2 linked regions of the Coturnix japonica genome follow. The protein of the gene in region 2 interacts with the protein of the main gene of each other region in a biochemical or structural test. Links are inferred from orthologs where the notes say so. Each region holds a gene or a part of one and is shown on either strand. Other genes may lie near its edges.

Region 1 (3,969 bases), on a different chromosome or scaffold from region 2:
ATTGTTTAGGTGAGGTCTGGCAGCACAACCTGTGTTCCTGGTGCAAACCCTCAGTGTGGGGATGGATGAGTGAAAAACAACCCAGCAGGCGGGGAGACCCGGAATTCAACTCTTAAAGGAAAATAAACACATCAGTGAGGAAGCAGAGTTCACTACCAGGGCAGCATCTCCATCCTCTGCTCCTTCTCCCTACAAAAACCCCACATTTTACTCTCTGGATCTACTTGTGCCTCAATAACCAACTAATTCCTGACAGCATTCCAAGCAAAAAGGAATGCGCTGGTGTCACGTTCTTTGTCAACAGCTGTAAAGCTGATGGGATCCAACAGCTCTGCGGTGGTGGTGCCTGAATAGGAACACCAAGCCCTCCCCAGGAATTCTTTGGAAGACATTATTAAGCATCTGATTTTGGCACTGCTCTCGGAGCTGATGGTCCTGCTTTCTCACTGCCTGCTGAAAGGAAAGCATGGCTGCAAATAGCTCCTATCAGCAAGGAACAACATCGGTGCTGCAGCAGGGCCAGCAGCGTTTGCACCAAGCAATTCCTGGTGCTGACAGCTGAGTGGGAACAGTTGTTGGTGGCTGGGACAGATGGACTTCATAGCTTACACAAAGGGAAGTAAGGACTTCTGTTTGCTAGGTTGAGAAATGGCCTTTGCACAATTCAAACCTCAGAGATAAATCAAAGGGAGATTGGAGCACGCTGAGTTTGGCACCGCAACGTGCCAAGGACCTGCCTCCCCATTGAGGACGTGCTTTTATTTTCATCAGGAAATACTTGTGAATTTTGGGAAGGGCTGCACAGCTCTGCCCTCAGTCTGACACGTGAAAGCTTCCAAATCCAAATGCTGGAAGGTTGCAGCAGAGGCATCGAGGCAGGACGCACCATAGATGTTGCTTACAAGCTCTGCTTTCCACCACTGATGCTGATAATTTCCGCTAGCATAATTACGGCCATGGCATTTCCCTCATATGCAGAATCTTTAGATGCTTTTAGTGCCTGGAGCGGGGTACACACTGCACTCTCCATGCTTCACTGCCTTCTGTGCTGTGGCAATGTTTTGAGGCCATGACCAAGAGTTGGGTCCATTCTGGATAGAGAAGCACAGAGGCCATCCCTGCTCTATAGTCTAAGAAGCACATTGAGCTCCTAAAGCAGTTTTGCAGCATCTCACTGGCCTTGTTGCCTTCCTTCTCTGCCAACCAGTGGGCTGGCATCAAACACAACCCTATGGGACCACACAGCAGCAACCCAGTGCACCTTTAATGTAGGATTCCTCCCGGTTCACTAATATGACTATAGTGCAACCAGGTGTGAAAGCAGCGGGGTCTGCCTGCATTCAGCAACTCCTGCCTGTCCAAAGAAGCACCCAAGTAGCTGCAGCTCATTTCCAGGCTGCTGTCTTTTAGGCCGCATTCAACAGGATGCTCAAGCACTGCTCCAGCACAGAGGGAGGAGAGGAAATGCCCCTTGAGCCCAACTGCAGGAGAAGCTGAGTGAAATCTGCTGTTTTTCCTCACTCAAATGGAACACCCAGATCCAAAGTTGGGACCTGGATGACTGTGATGCTCCGGGTACTCACAGTTCAGCCTCAAACCACAGCAAAGCAAACAGAGCCCCCCAGTTGCACTCCTCATCCCAATGGGTGCTGCAGTGGAACGGCTGTATCTTCTCACCCCTTAATTTTGGAGGGAACAGAGCCCAAATCTTAACTTAATTCAAAGCCCCAACGTCTGAAAACCATTAGGGACTGAAGAATTCCTTTGTCCTTAGATAAACTGGCTGAAATATTTCAATGCACTCCAGTCTCGAGCTGACCCAACGCAGTTATTTGTGTGCACAGCCCCGTGGATCTCAGTGGCTGAACTTTCCAAGTCAGTTGCTGATTGGCACTCTGACCTCCCTCCATCCCTTCTCCTTCTGTCGCCTGCCTGGAAGGGGGGAGTGGGGGGTGGGGGGCAATGGGAGCCCACCGGCTGCTGTCCCCCCCTCTTCATCCCCCCGCTATTAATAGCCAGACAACAAATGAGCCCGAATTCATTCCTGAGCGGAATTAGCAAATGTTTTTGCAATTAAAAACTGCAAACATTCATGCGGGCCCCCGGAACAATAGGAGCCTGTGCCTCGGCTTGAATAGGGACCAGTGTCCGCCCTGCCTGCCTGCCGAGGCTGCACATTCCTGGCACCCTCAGCCCTGGACCCGCACCTCGCTGAGCTGCTTCCCCCCCCATCTCATCCCATCCCACAGCTCAGCGCCCTTTGGGGTCCTGTTTGGGGTAGAGGCAGCGCATCCTTCCCATCACCGCTCACCCCGGGATGGGACGGCGGCAGAGCATCCTCACTTCGCCGGGACCCCGATGAAAGTAACACATCCCTCCTGTTCCCCACGATCAGAGCAGCACATCCCCTTTCCTCTCCGGGTTATGGGCAGCGTATCCCCCTCTGTCCCCGGCACCAGCGCACCGCGTTCCCAGCCGGGACGGCGATCAGGGCCGTCTCTGCTCGGGATGGCGATCAGAGCAGCGCATCCCTTCTTTCCCCGAGCTCGGAGCGGCGCATCCCCGTTCCCGACCCATCTCCGCGGCACCGCATCCCTTTAACCCCCCCTCTGCGCATCCCCCCCAGACCCCAAGGACCCATCGGGCATCTCCGGGCCGATCTCCATTGCCCGGCACTCACCGAACAGGGGCAGCAGCAAGAGAAGCGCCGGCCGCCGCAGCGCCATGATGGGGTGTGCGGAGCTGAGCCCTGCGCTGAGCCTGCGCACTGCCCCGACGGGGGGAGGATGATGAAGGGGGGCGGCCCGGGGGCGGGGGTGCCGCTGATGTTGCTGCGGTAACCGGGCGGGGAGCTGCGAGGATGGAGCCTGGCACGGAGGGGCTGCGGATGGGGCGGCCCCCGGGGTGGGGATGGGTTCGGTTATGGGCAGTGCTGGGCGGTGGGGGGAGGTTTGAGTGCGTGGAGGGCTGTTGGGGGGGGGTGTGCCCTGCTAAAGCTGACTCGTGATGTGCAATGAGCGGCGGTGCGAACTTTTGGACGAGTTAAAGCGAGGGAGAAACGCAAACAGACAGAGCTGCATCTCGTGCTGTGCAGAGTGAGAGCACCCCGAGTCTCTGTACAGTCCCCAAAAGCATCTCAGAGCCTTTTCCATTAGTTAACGAGAAGCAAGTCCCTGCTCCATTTGATCCCCTGCAAGACCAAGGATAAGGGGATGTGGCTCTGAGCCTGATGGGTGTCCCATTGCATGGAGCAGAACCAGATGGACTTTAAGGTCTCTTCCACCCCAGATCCTTCTGTGATTTGAAGTCAGGTTGGATGGGTGCCGGCTCGTGCGTCAGTGCGCTGTGATGGGGATGTAATTAAGATGCTGTTGAAAATCAAGCAGCTGGAATGAAAGCCAAGCTCTTCTCTGTACCACGAGCTCGGCAGAGCGGGTTGAAATTAAGGGATGTAAAAACGTATTTAACTTGATAACGTGGTGGATCTAACTCTCAGTGCTAATGAGGAGACTTAAAGGGCTGATCTGAGCCTGGTGAAATTAATATGAAGGCACTCAGTCCTAATGGCCAGATGGGACACTTCAGTGATGATGCGGGGGATGGACTCGCTCAATAAGACTTGATGGCTTACAGCCCAACAGCACCAATATTTGGGCCGTGTCCCCATTAGCAAAGAGTCATTTTAACCTGTTTCCTTTGGACTGAAGGGATAGAGAGATAAAATCCAACAGCAATTAAACATCACTGAGCCACCAAGTTCCTTCCCGACACCAAGCAACCACCTGGGCAGGGAAAGCAGCAAAATGGATGTGAACTCAGAGGACAAGAGTGGGGGATGAGATCTGGAATATCACCTCACTTCTATGCCCACCCCTGTGTGCTGCCCCACGGCTGTGTCAGGGCACAGCAGAGCCATTGGAGATGTGAAAAGGAGTCACGATCAATATTATACGATATACTGTGCCCATC
Region 2 (3,512 bases):
TTTCAGCATTCCTTTCTTTGCCTTAATTTTATCCTTCTCTTTATCTCGATCTTTCTTCTTTTCCTTTCCAGCCTTTTTTCTTTCACCTTTGTCTTGGCTTCCATTCATTTGTCTCTCCAGTGAGTGGGATGGCTGGTCACTTGCTGTGGAAACAGACTCTCTACCAGATCTTGAGCTTTCCTCTGTGTCTTCCTCCACTGAAAGCACACAATAAGAAACAACATGGGATAAGAACAAACAACAAAAGCAGGTTGGTTTTTTTTTTTTTGTTTATTGTATAAATTATTTTCAAGCAGGATATATGCACAACAGCAAAATATTCCCATTCTTTTTAAAAATCAGTATTCACTAATTAGGATTTTTCTTGGAATGGACAGGTGTACATAAACTCCTAAAGATAAGAAATTCATCTTTGCAGGACATTCTGTATAACTTGATTCTTGTTTGGTGTGCACTCTGAATAACACACAGACTATGAGGAAGATGTTAATTGAACCCCATTAAGTGATGGTAATTGGATCCTTTTGTTTCAGCATCTAAAACAGTTGAGGAGAGCTTCAGAAATGTCTGCAGGAAGAAACAACAGCTGTGTAGCATGCCCTGTCAATAAATTCTTAGCAATATTCCCATAAAAATATGAAAGTCATTATGGACTGTTGACCCTCAATAGAAGCCTTAATAGACTTTTTCTTATGCTGCAAATACCATAATGATTCTGCGGCACTACTTCATTTCCTGGCATAGTTTAAAACACATCACGCATCATAGGTTTTATTCTTCCAGAGCAGTAATACAGGTTGAGATTGGAGCAGCCTGGGAGGCTCAGGTGGGGAGATTCCACCCAGTGGAACATGGGAAACATTTTAAGAGCAGGTAATGTGTTTCTTCTCCGTTTGTAATCCAAGACCAAGACTGAGAATCCTAAAGTATACCCGAGGTTAAATTTAACAGGGCACACATGTTTCAGAATCTCTGAAATAAAATGATCAAAAGAAATAATGCAATCAGGAACGGAAAATTCCCCGAGCAGTTAAGCAAGCAAGAAAGAAAATATGTTAAACATGAGAGTTAGAATTGTGAAGCCATTTTGACATAACTTAAAGCCATATCCAACAACTATACTGCATGGCTGGTGAAGCTGTGATCTCTCAGGAGCTCTAACATTTTATTTCATCACATTATAAGCAGGGCTGCATCACTTCCCAGTTTTCCAACAGACAGAACAAGGCAGCAATTAGGATCACAGGCACATACTCTGTACTGATTCCTGTAGCTCTTACAGGTTCCAAACAACTATATAAACATATATATATATATAATATACACATATACACAAAAAGATTTGGAAAAGGCCATGACAGAGCTGGAAGGAAGAATTATTTTTAACTTTAGCACATGCTTATTATTATTATTATTACTATTACTACTAGTACTGTTATTGGTAGACCTCAGGGACTTTTCTACAGCTAATGGAAGTGTGCAGTTCTTTAGAAAATTTCATAAACAAAATAGTGTAGAATATAAATTTGCTCTTCTTACTCATCTTTCATGATTGCCATACCAGTAATTCACTGAAGCTGAGAAGTCTACAAATCACCAGCTGAAAGCCACTAGATATTCTACATTCTCTCTCTGATACTTGCCTGCAAAATATTGTTTATTCTTTAATATTACATTACACAGACCTGCCCAACTGACTTATTCAACGAATCTCCCAGCACTTCTATAAATATTATCCAACCCTGCAAGATCACATAAACATTTTTCAAGAGAAACATATCATGTCAGATAAATATCAACATTAATAACCACTTTGGAATATCAACTATTACTCTGAAGTACAAATCAACCAAAAGAAAAAAAGACACTTCCCAGCAATTCATATTGGCTTGTCTTCAGGACTGCTATGAGATAAGCAGGTGACACAACTTCTCAGCTGTAGGCACAGCTTTAAAATTAGGATAATTTTATTTCAGAAAACTAACAGGCATTTCCCATACCCATCTCTGTATTAGCTGTACTTGGACTTTATTTGGTGAAAGTGTTTCTACCACAAATTTGGGGATGATATTTCATTGTTATTAAAACAGTAGTGGAAAACTACTTTGGAAAAGTGATGCAAATTTTTTGCATGTTAATTTATAGCTACAATCTGTTCCATTTAAACCAACCAGGCATTTAAATGATTGTACTTGCAAACAAACATAATTAGTTTTAAAAAAAAAGAACAAAAAACAAACAAAAAAAACCCCACGCATAAATCTGACAACTTCTGAAGTTGACTATTTACTTGGTACTGCATTGCTAGAATTCCAGAGATAAACAAAACTGTTCTATGATTGTTCATATTCATATGACAATACACTATTTTAAGCCTAAATATGCATTAAGTGTATTGTGCTGTGCTGATTGCCGAACTACTTGTCATAACAATGCTTCCTTTTATTGTTTTACATATTCTATGAAGATTGTATTGGCTCCTTTCCACAGTTGTGCTGCAATAAATATTTGTCTATCATATACATTTTGCTCACAGTTAACTCCATGGCTTCGAATGAGCCTTGTGAACCAGGATTTCTGTTCTCTTGGAATAAACACTCATGTTTCCACTGGAGTAAATGGATTTCCATTTTCTTAAAAAGGCAGAACATGAAGAAACTTGTTTCACTTTTATGCAGAGCATTCACTCTGCAATTAACATACTCCTAATTACTAGCGTTTAGAACAAATGCAAATGCTGCCCAATTAAAATTCAAGCCGAGGCTGCAAATGAAACTTCTTATTTTTGTTAAGTTGCAATAATGACATTAGGTTGCTGCAAAATGCAGAATTTACTTGTTTTGGTACTGCTACTTTCTCCCCCACCTTCCCGCTCCCTTCCCCATTCAGGATATGGAAGACAAAAAAATAAATTGGAGTATACTTTAAGCATCAACTAAAGCTAAAAACCAGTGTCATTTCATGGACTGCACTGTACTAAAGAGAAGTACACAAACAGGTATTATGAAGCTATTCTCCTAATTGGGCCATAATATGTAAAAGATGCACATGAGGAATCAAAGCTACTTAATGTGAAGCTATTTTGCCACTACGTTTCTAGGCCCCTTATTGTGATATTTAATACAGCTGTGGATTCTAGCAATTAAGATTCAGCAAAAGATTAGAAAGCTTTGCTGATCTCTCCCAATTCAAATGCCTTGTCCTCATTCACATCACTAAAGATAAACACTCTGCTTCCAGTCGGCTATTTCAGGTATTTAGGAGAAAAAAAAAAGAGAGAGAGAGAGAAATCAGTCAAAATGACTTGTAAAAGTTCAACACTCGCACCTCTCCACAAATGAGACTTATTTACAACCATTAAAATTCATACACTTCCTCTCACATACTTTCTAAAAAGATTGTCCCAGAACTGGACACACCGATCTGATTTTCCTAGCCATTTAATAACTTTTTTCTTTGCAAAGACAGTAAGTTAATTTAGAAGAGCCGGCCCCTCTGCCACACATACTACC

What was found.
Region 1: the proteins of PARD3 (region 2) and JAM3 form a complex in vitro, tested with the Homo sapiens proteins (2 studies listed by BioGRID and IntAct, with this or other methods). The link is inferred for Coturnix japonica from reciprocal best matches to the Homo sapiens genes PARD3 and JAM3.

What each region holds. Positions count from the first base shown.
Region 1 is NC_029539.1:2,091,573-2,095,541, reverse strand, and holds the start of JAM3 (junctional adhesion molecule C), read right to left. Parts: upstream 2,808-3,969; 5' UTR 2,727-2,807; coding exon 2,681-2,726; intron 1-2,680. UniProt on the Homo sapiens protein: Junctional adhesion protein that mediates heterotypic cell-cell interactions with its cognate receptor JAM2 to regulate different cellular processes. Plays a role in homing and mobilization of hematopoietic stem and progenitor cells within the bone marrow.
Region 2 is NC_029517.1:12,121,585-12,125,096, reverse strand, and holds part of PARD3 (partitioning defective 3 homolog), read right to left. Parts: intron 198-3,512; coding exon 1-197. UniProt on the Homo sapiens protein: Adapter protein involved in asymmetrical cell division and cell polarization processes. Seems to play a central role in the formation of epithelial tight junctions. Targets the phosphatase PTEN to cell junctions.